Linked DNA regions of Schizosaccharomyces pombe. The gene in region 2 interacts genetically with the main gene of each other region. Each region holds a gene or a part of one and is shown on either strand. Other genes may lie near its edges.

Region 1 (3,759 bases), on a different chromosome or scaffold from region 2:
CGATTTTTTCAACCTGCTTGGCGGCATCCTTTTCACTCTCTAGAGAAGTGACATCCAACTTAATAATATGCACATTGGAATGAGACTTGCTCAACTCTTGTAATTCAGTAGCAGCTTCGGGTTTGCGAGCACTCGCAAACACAGTCGTTCCTTCTCTATTGCTTAACTCTTTAACAAGAGAGAGTCCAATACCACGATTCCCGCCTGCGATAAAGAAAATCTTGTCAGCCGAAGACATATTCTATTTTTTGAAGTACTCAGAAAATTCCAAAATTCACGAAAAGACTGAACCCTTAAAGGCTGTTCAGCTATTAACACATTTGATGTTGTTACGTCACTTCAGTCGCATATTTATTGCCTTAAAAGGTCGTCAAAAAGTAGTGAATGTATGGAAACATTGTCGTTAACCGTAAGCTACATTAAAGCATTGCAGTTCATGCCTTCATAGCTATTCAATTATTTACCAGACGTCGCTGTAATTTTGGCTGATAACATTGCCACTGTGGTTAAAAAATGGAAGAATTCGTTTTCCAGCTTTGGTGGTGGTAGGAGTAATTATCTACGATTTATAAAAGGTAGCTTCGAGTTTGAGGTTGAACAAAGTTTTTCTTTATATATTATTAAAATGCAGGCTACTCGTAAACAACTAGTCTCAAAAGACAAAACGAGTGGTTTTACTAGCTTTCCAAAACTGTAATAGTACATGACTGATTGAAGGGTACAACAATTTTTTCTTTTGATCTATGGTCATTTGTTCGTGTATATAGAATTGTAGAAGTTGATCATTTTTTTCCAAATCCTTTATTCTGGCATCGTTGCATAAGTACAAAAAAGAATATGTCTAAAAAGGAATGATGGTACCATCATAGTTGTAAAAAAGTCCATTATTTTCGGGCTTCAAATTGTCTACAACTTTCAACATATCTGAAGCGCTTTTCTCGGGTGTTAAGGCCTGCTTTGCAAAGAGATCCAAAATTTCCGGTTTCTTTTCAGCATGCTGATTTACAATTTCTTGAGCTGAATCGGTTCGGACAGCTCCGGGGTGAATTGAAATCACTATGAATCCTTCATCTTGTAGCTCAAAACTAATTTCCTTCATCGTATAATTTAAGGCAGCCTTAGATTGGCCATAAGCAGATTGACTTGAAGGGAAGAAAGCTCCCATGGATCCAGCTAATGATGAAGTAAAAACAATGATTTTAGATCTTCCTTTTTTTATAAGAGGATAAAAGGCTTGGTAGACATGAATTGGTCCTAAAACATTGGTTTTATAGTGAGAGTTCCAGACATCATCAGGAGTATTTACGACAGGACCAAAAGAATGGAAAACGGCTGAATTTACCCAGAGAACATCCACTGCATCAACTACTTTTGTAACTTCTTGAGCGGCTTCATTGGCACTCTCTAGAGAGGAGACATCTAACTTAATAATGTGCACATTGGAATGAGACTTGCTCCATTCTTGTAATTTAGTAGCAGCTCCAGGCTTGCGGGCACTTGCAAATACAACTGTTCCTTTTCTGTTGCTCAATTCCTTAACAAGAGAGAGTCCAATGCCTCGATTTCCTCCTGCAATAAAGTAAATTTTGTTGGTAGTAGACATATTCTAACACAATGTTTGAATGATCCTTGAATCCGTTTGAAAAGTGGATAATTTGGTGTCGGCAATTTATCATCAACTTCATGCTTATATACCAATTCTTCAAATCATTATGCTTACGTGATTTGAACCGTGAATTTTGATGCTTACATAATTGAATATACTCAGCGACAAGTTCATAAAAATTCATCGTATAGAACTTATTGTACTTTGTATTAGAAGACAATATAAATACATTTACAACCTATTTAGACGGTTTTTTAAACATATTCCCTTAATTCCGCTTTAATAAATTAATCAATTTCAGTTAAATTATTCTTCTGTTTCTGGTTTCTTTGACAAAGCATCATATAGATGATATGTATTTGAAGTTACTCACATGAGAATGCTGAGTTGCCAGTCGTATAGAAAAGCTTTAAATTGGGTACAAACAAACGACTCTTTAAATTGCTCCACCAAAAAATAAATTTATAAAAAAACAAGATAGCCGTAAGATGATCGATCACTCGGGAGTCATTTTTTGGACGATAAGCCTTATACGAATGAATACTCAAATTTGTTACATGAAACACATCTTTTAGATGTCCATGCTCACTAAATAGTTATGTTAAGCTTTTTTAAAGTTCTGAAGGCTTGTAAATATTTGTAAGGGCATGTAAATTCAACAAAAAAGAACGATTGTTTGAACACAACATCGTGCTGTAATCTAGACTGCAAAAACATCTTTAAAAAGGGGCATCAAAACCATCATGACTAACAAAAGATATGTCTAAAAGGGAATAATGGTCCCGTCATATCTATAAAAAGACCCGTTGTTTTCGGGTTTCAAATTGTCAACCACCTTAAGCATGGATGAAACGCTTTCTTCGGGTATGATAGTAACCTTTTTTAAGTAAGTCAGCATCTCGGGAGATGTTTCAGTAAATTTTTTGATAGCATCAGCATTCATATCAGTCTTTACTACTCCAGGATGAATGGAAATGAATGTGAAGTGTTCATCAGCTAGTTCGACACTAAGTTCCTTCATAGTGAAATTGATTGCTGCCTTGGACTGACCGTAGGCAGAGAATCCAGTAGCACGAAAGTCGCCCATTGAGCCGCATTCACTGGAAGTAAAGATAACCTGTCTGGTTTTTTTCTTTGTCAACAACGGATAAAAAGCTTTGAACACATGGATAGGTCCTAAAACATTGGTTTGATAATGAGCATTCCAAACTTCTTCAGGTGCTTCCATAACTGTATAGTAAGATTGACAAATACCAGAGTTCAACCAAAGAACATCAATTCCATCGACCGCCTTCGCAACGCTTTGAGCAGCTTCATTGGCACTCTGCTGAGATGTGACATCTAATTCAACAGTTTTAACATTAGGATGAGATTTGCTCCATTCTTGTAATTCAGTAGCAGCTTCGGGTTTGCGAGCACTCGCAAACACAGTCGTTCCTTCTCTACTGCTTAACTCTTTGACAAGAGAGAGTCCAATACCACGATTTCCTCCTGCAATAAAGTAAACTTTGTTGGTAGTAGCCATCTTTATAGTACAATCTCAAAGTCGTTTCTCAATTAGTTTTTGGTTAATAGTAACTGACACTTCCTTGGTGTTTTGCTGTACTTTTATTGATAAGGAGTGTTTGTTCGCTATTTCGTTTACGTGTGAAGAGCTGTGACATTTTGCACACGTTTGATTTTCTCAACCAAAAGCGTCAAATTTCATTCTACAAAATTCTATCGGTATTTGCTGCTTGATATTAACAGTCTTTTTATATGGGACTTGCATAAAATAAAAAAAGTAGAAGCCGTGTTAATTAATGAAATCGAAAATTTTGATTGTAGAGCGTAGTAAAGGATGAAAAAATTTTAAGAACTACTTTTCCTCGTTTTTGAAATCTTCCGGTAGAAAGAACTTGTCAGATTATAATAAAACAACTACAGAATCTATCTCATACATACATCGAAGCTGCAATTTTTTCTCAGGTTACTGGTTCACCTCTTAGGTCAATTTGCTCTACCAATTTAAACCCTCTGTAAGATAATATTTTTGTTGAGGAGAAAGAGAGAATCGTATATAGAGTGTCTTAGTAAGATTATATGACATGAAGTTTTACAGCATCTCAAGATTAGGCTTCTTTACGACTATATGACCAATACAAAATGGATGG
Region 2 (3,466 bases):
CTGCTCTCGCAATGTACCCAATTTGGCAACTGCCTGAGCATGACGAGAGCGAAAATTAGCAATAGCAGAAGCAGTTGCGGCATCAAGCTTCAGCTTGCTAGCTACACTAGCCCAATCAATCGCCTTTCCAGCAGCGCTAGCAACTTTCGACATTTGCGTAAATAAAGAAGAAAAAATTCAAAATTCAATAAAATAACAGTTATATTGTTAAACAATTTAACTGTCTTATAAATATTTCCTGCTTTTGGTTATGTGTTGAAGAGATGGGGGTAGTTGGGGAACGGATGATTTAGCATTGCCAGAGCCATATTGCCAGGTGGTTTGGCTTTCAGCAGTAGGCTTCCTTAATGGTTCAAAAAATATCATATAATTGGGTAAATGAAAGCAACAAGTACAAAATTACTACAAAAAAAAAAATTAAGCGGTTAGAATAGAACTTGTGCCCTACAATTAGTATACGCTCCACTCATTCTTGTGCTAATAGAAATTCAAAGTTAGCTGTAAATTTTGATTTACCGGTGTATCACCAAATCACTTTGTACTTCTCATGTTTAATTTAAGATTTCATTTTTGAATGTCGAGAAAAATTATTTAGTAATTGGTTTATTGATAATTTATAAATAATATAAAAGAATTACCATAGTAAAAAGGAAAAAGAAAAGTTCTAAACATATTGCCATAACTATAGTTACTCGCGTAAACGTGCTTCCAATTCTGCTTTACGAGCTTTACGAAGCTGTTCAACCTCATCTTGACTAGTGTTATAGCTCACATTCATCTGAAATTGTTAGTAAAAATGATATTTACAATGGTTTTCCTGTTTAGGGTTTATACATGATATGGTCATCATCAAAAAGAGTATGCATGTACCCTTATCGCTTCTTACCTTATTGAAAGGATTGTCCGGATGTTTCTGAAATTCTTTATACATTATGTCTTCATATTGGTTTAAACGGAGGCCCGGTTGTTCTTTGCGTAGTTCAGGCAAACGAGATTGTTTGTATTCTGTCAAAGCTGCTTTAAACCGACGTTCAGGATGACGATCAATTTTATCTTTGGACGATGAATTGTTTAAACTTAACAAATCCAAAGCATCATCAATATTGCGGGCACTATATGAAGCTGTCTGAGGGGTTTCGTTGAGGAAAGCGTCTAAAGATGAATTCTTCTTTGCAGCCTTCTTTGACCCCTTTCCTCCTTTAGATGGAAGACTCTCCATTTCTTCTTTTTCTAAACGTTCACGTTCAGCTTTCCTCTCCAACGCAGCTTTTCGTTTTTCAGCTTCTTGCTCCTTTTTATTAGTTTTGACGCCCTTGGACCATTTTTCGTCTTCTTCAGCGTCTTTTTTTTTCTTTTCCTCGTCTTGTTTTCTAGATTTTGCCGCTTCGGCCTTTTCTGCTCTCTTTTTTGGATTCCCCATATCAAGGCTATTAATGGTATGTGAGATTTGAATGACTTGAACAACAGGTGATTTCTATATGCCGCCTCGTTATAAGAAAGGCGACGAAGGATGGATTAATAATCTGATCTGATAATTTTTATAAGTGAATGTCTCGTTATATCTCCCTATTTTTATCAGTGTATTTACAAAGGTGTATTGATAACACTGAACAAACGGCGTCAAACGTTGGTATGTAACTGAATTTTTATCACTAAAATAGAAAATAAAAGTTCTTAATTGGAAATCTGCTACTATTTATTTCCTTAAATGCCTTGATGCAGGCTAAGGGTATATTGAATGGTATAGACACTGCATAATACACCATAAATCCTTTTTATGACATGATGGCATTCTTAACAGTGATAACTCATTAAAAAGAGAAACAAAGTCAACCGATGTAAATTGATCATACTCTTCAATTACAATATTATATCATGACAATTGTTATGGACTTCGATGTGTATTTCATGAAGTTTGAAAAAGTAAAATATATCATCAAATTAAATGCTTATTCTTGCCAAATTATTCAACAATATCGTACAGTGAACAATTGCTTTCAAGTATTGATTAGTTTATTGTAATCTATATAAGTATTAAACTTCATCTTCGATACAAATAACGTACAAACTAACATTCCGATCATCTTAATTGTTAAAGGAATTAATGAATCTATAATTCTAAATTATTTTTTTTAGCACTTAAATTTACTCATCCTATTATTTACATTTACAGTATACGGTTTCTTAACGAGTATACGCTATTATTATGCCGAAACATGAATGCATATCAATTTTGGTTCTACCAGCACTGTTCCTCTATTTTGAAGGGTTTATAAGTTAAAGTCAAGTAAGCATTACCTCTGATTATTATTTCATTTTATATCAAGTTCTTAATCAACGTTCTTATTTTTTTAATTCGTGTCTCTATATTTTGACAATTACTTGAAAACTTGTCATACGACAAAGGTAAAGAAGGAATTGCTAGCATTTATAGCTTTAAAACGATGTATATTTTCTATTAGGGATATATTGTTATATTTTTGACTCTCAACGAATACTTCGTACTCGGTTCCTTCGATTGCTGTTTATCCTATCTGATATAAATTTGAAAATTTGAATTAGACCCTATGCTAACATATTCTTAGTTACATGTATATATAGAATTTTTTTTCGTTTAATTTTATTTTTGAAAATTAAACTTTTTGATCACCTTTCGTAAAAGTTCCTTTCGATGAGCTTTCTGAATTCTTGGAGAGCTGTTAAATATACAAATAAGCCTAAGGAAGAAGACATCAAACTCCCAAATTCTGCATCAAATCTTCCAACTACTGTACAAGCATGTGTGATACAGTTTATCTCTTCTCTAGTTAGTCCGGTTCACCCTCAATTGCTTTCGCCTGAAGAACTAGCAAAAGCATTTCAAAACTTTTACAAGCATACCGATGAGTTTATTGCTTCAACCCTTATCCCTCAACCCTCTTCAAAAGATCAAAATGTGCCTCTTTTGTTTCCTGAGGAAATAGATGCTCAGAAAAAGGCGAGACAACACTTGCTGAACCAAAAAGATGAATGGATGGACCAAATTGAAGATATAGTTTGCGAATATTTGTATGATCGGTATGTGATTACTTCGCCTACAATAACTGTTTACTAATATTGTGTTAGGATTTTCTGTTTATCTACAAGTACGGATGCTGCCAAAGATGACTTGTTAAAAAAATTTATTGCTTCTGAAGAAAAGAAAGAACTTATCAATTGCATTCCAATACCTGATGATGAAAAACTTACAAACCGGTTACATGAAGTCTCTGAAGCATTTTTTGCTCTCGATGAGCAACACACACCTAGATCGAAAATAAACACTTTTATGACCGTTAATTCAAGTATATTGAATGCCTCTCAACTTCCTCAAGAAGAATTGAATGCTGATTCTTTATTAAATTTGACCATATATTGCATTCTCTGTTATCCCGGATTTCATTTAATATCGCACCTGAATTTTGTGTTACGCTTTCGAAATGCAGAT
Region 3 (3,759 bases), 600 kb from region 2:
GTTTTATAAAAAAAATAAATTTAAGATTGAACGTGAATTTTGTATACCAAATTTTATTTAAATAGACAATTACAAGTTCAAGTCTAGAAACGTTCTAAACTGATAGATAATATAATATCAATCAATACCTCAATTAGCGACACAAAATAACACCATTAAATTTCATAAAACTCTATAAAAATTGAAAGAGAAGTGTCCATTACACTTATCTTTGAACAAGGGAGTATAGCCTTCATCATATACATCTTGATAACGCGCGGACAAATCCGGAAATAATTAAATGATCTCAACAACAGTGGAATTAAGAAGCATATTTTGAACGGCTTCTCAGTTTCAGACCCCATTTATGTAGCACGAAAGGAATAGGAATCATTAAGCAAGCAACTATACCAAGGATAGTACTTCCCCAGGCAACTGGAGCATAGGAAGGGCCTGTATTATTAAACATAGCTCGGGCAAACAATGGGAATGATGCAGCCATAGCCGAACGAAATAGGTCGTTTCCAGCAAACACAGATGCAACGTACTTTGGGTATGAAGCAGCCAAATACTGAAACATACTTTGAAACATTAAAAAGGCCCCAGATGCGTAAAAGAGCGTACTGACGATTGGTACAATCCAATGGACCGATTCTCTTCCCGACCAGCCAAACCAGAAAAGGCAAATGGGAATAAAGAACGTTGCTGGAAATGAAATGACCAAAACTCCTTCCGGAGCAAAATCACCACCACTGGCCATGAATGCTGGGATCATCACTTTATACAGGAATACGAAATAGCAGGCTAAAGTAATCAAGGCACCCACGAGAATACCTAAGTAAACCAAGCCATTTTCAATAATGGTAAAATGGTAAACGCTAGTAAAAAGGATTGGGAAAGCTTCGAACCACAGATATAAAATTGAATAGATTAGCCCAATATATATATTTAAAGACAATACTATCGGCTCCGAAATACTTAGTATTATCGGACGAATTATGGTTTCCTTTGCAAGCTGAGCAACACTTAAATGGGAAGATGCCAATTCGGCCTCTGTTCTATAATTTTCGTTTCCAGTTATCTTACGGAACCTCTTTGCCCTCTTATATAATATATGCCATTCAGAAGTCTCTGGCATAAAAAAGAAGATAACAATCAATGCAAAGCCAGAAATCATCATCAAAAGCCAAAATTGCCATCTCCAAGATTCAGCAACGACCATCGCTCCACCAAGCAACGGTCCCAAAACTGGACCACCGATGGCTCCAATTGCCCAAAAACACATAAAGTAGGGAAGAAGCCATGGTTGCCAAATATCTGCCAAAGTAGCACCTCCAGTCGCTAGAGCTGGCGAGCCGAAGAAACCGGCCAAAAACCTCATTGGTAATAAGACGCCCAAGCTAGATCCCAGTGCGGTGGGAATCTGTAAACACACAAATACAAGGAGAGAAAGAACATAAATCTTTTGGCGACCAACTTGTGGAATCTCCGAGAGTGGAGACAAAATTAGGGGACCGATGGCATAGCCAAGTACAAAAAGAGTCAATCCCAAAACTACGGGAACAGTTCCTACGTGCATCGTTTCTTGCATTTCTGATATACCTGGAGTAAAAATTGCTGATCCCACATAAACCGCAAACGTTAAGAAGCAAATATCAAAAGTCACCACAAGCTTTGCCCACAAAGGCCAATTTAGGGGATTTTCGGGATCGTTGGCATCATCCCATCGCACAATAATGTGTCCCTCTGAATTAACTTCATGAATCTTCAGATCGCCGGATTCCGAGCTGCATGAGTCATTGGAATCTACTTTGCTAATGTCTTTCCATACTCTCAGTTTCTCTAAGTCGTTGTCATTGGAGTTGTGAGAAACGTATTCGACCAATTCGCCGAAAACGGTTTCCCTTAAAAATCCCATTTAAATGACCGTATGTAAAAACCAAAGTTAGTTCTATTTTTTGGTCTCGGTTAACTTTATTAAAAACTTGACAGATTATTTGCCCACACTTGCTGGTACAATTGTCTGGCTACATTCTTCTCCTAATATACCCTTCGTGCCTTACCTAATCAACGTGAATGTTTACTAAGTGTAAAGTAAGCATATATTGATTGATTAGTCAATTATGTGAGATTCCTTCTTTCAATTATCCATCGTATTCTAAGTCGTTTCAGTAAGCAGTATTAAAAGTGCAAAATCATCTTGTTGCTTATGTAAACAAAAAAAAAATTAAGATTGGAAGTTACAACAAACATTTCTAACGTACATCAGTCGATCGTCATCTCGCGTAAAAAATTCTGCCTTAATTTTTGTCAGCAAAAGAAAGCGAAATTAAAAAGTAAAAACAGAACTATATGACTAATCAAAACTAAGTATGAATTAATTCTTTTCAGAGTAATGCGAATACAACAGTTACTTAAAAAAATGATGTCGTTAAAAACAATTTTAACTTCAAACTATGATTAAGTAGGTAGACGATCGACGGAAGACAGAAAATAAGAGGGATTGCTATGCTTGCCGTTTTCCTTTGAAGACGATGTTTCAAGAAAATTAAAATTTAATATTTTACTTTTAAAGAAAAGCTTATATAAAAAATGACTATTAAACATCTGCAGTCATACGCACTTAATATTTGTCCAAATGAATATGCCGAAATTGTCTTGCTTTTAACTACTTCGCTTAAATTCCCAACTTTATCCCAAAAAGTAAAATCATATAGTTATTTCACAACATTAAGTTTACTTGAAAATGTCTAATCATTAATCATAAATAGTTTTAATAGAGAAAATGTGAGCTTCAAAAAAAACTTCCTCAGTTACATAATACTACAAGCATCGGTATCGAGCACTTCGTGTCCAAACCCATCATCCAAATGTGCACGATATGCAAGATGTGACAACATACGACTAGAAGAACGGTTAGTATTTACATGAGCAAATTAGAAGTATTCAACAAACCTCGTTATGTAGGAATCTCGCGACCCCTGCTGCCTATTCATTTCATTGGTAGCAATTATTTTGTAACTATTGGAAGTATGGTTCCTTGAACAACCTGATGGTGGAGTGTTCTCAGTATTGAATATCTTCACGGTGGAATCAATACCGGACACAGCAAGCGTGGGACAACGGGGATGCCCTTCTATAACGTTAACAGCTTCACTATCGCCATGGATAATTGCAAGAATGGAAGCATTTAACTTATCCCAAATAAAAAACCTGCCATCGTCAGAACCACTCATGACATATTCATCATTTTGACCATAGAAATTAACATTTTTAATAGACTCTACGTTGCAGTGACCATAATAACTTTTAACATGTGTGTTCACCGGCACATTTGGTTCCACTGCTTTCCGCTTCTTCATTCTTAAAGACAACAAAGTCGGACCTTCATCCGAATCCTCATCACTTTCATCATCATCATCACTAGCATAGGAGTAACTTTCCTCATCCTGGTAATCATCATCGTCATCATTGAGATCAGAATGCCCAGTATACATACTGACAATATTTTCTCCCGAACTACTTTCAACTTCATTTTCATAGTTCACTGGCGGTTCCAACAATGTCAAGAACCCGTTTTCATCATCAAGTCTTTGGCTGGAAGTAACGTCAGAAGTACTGCTGTCCCAAGGCTGAAATTGCTCCCAGTAGATATCGGAGGATATAAGAAGAAGACAACCGCGTAAAACTTTATGTATCCAAAAAAACCGCCTTACAGAAGATAAATCATTAGTATCTATCCTAGCAAATGCCCTAATCATTTCAGAGGGATTTGAGAAT

Evidence for each region.
Region 1: of oxs1 (region 2) and SPOM_SPCC663.08C, changing one suppresses a phenotype caused by changing the other (phenotypic suppression), as found in Schizosaccharomyces pombe (one study listed by BioGRID).
Region 3: of oxs1 (region 2) and caf5, changing one suppresses a phenotype caused by changing the other (phenotypic suppression), as found in Schizosaccharomyces pombe (one study listed by BioGRID).

Annotation. Positions count from the first base shown.
Region 1 is NC_003421.2:1,647,159-1,650,917, forward strand, and holds SPOM_SPCC663.08C (short chain dehydrogenase ), read right to left. Parts: upstream 1,661-3,759; 5' UTR 1,604-1,660; coding exon 842-1,603; 3' UTR 531-841; downstream 1-530. Other genes in the region: SPOM_SPCC663.09C (dehydrogenase), read right to left, coding at 2,370-3,131.
Region 2 is NC_003423.3:2,564,388-2,567,853, reverse strand, and holds oxs1 (oxidative stress transcription coactivator/ribosome recycling protein Oxs1), read right to left. Parts: upstream 1,421-3,466; coding exon 887-1,420; intron 779-886; coding exon 689-778; 3' UTR 501-688; downstream 1-500. Other genes in the region: atp7 (F0-ATPase subunit D), read right to left, coding at 1-153; guanyl-nucleotide exchange factor Muk1, read left to right, coding at 2,672-3,057, 3,106-3,466.
Region 3 is NC_003423.3:3,164,818-3,168,576, reverse strand, and holds caf5 (plasma membrane spermine family transmembrane transporter Caf5), read right to left. Parts: upstream 1,997-3,759; 5' UTR 1,898-1,996; coding exon 302-1,897; 3' UTR 92-301; downstream 1-91. Other genes in the region: iqw1 (WD repeat-containing protein), read right to left, coding at 2,793-2,883, 2,935-3,759.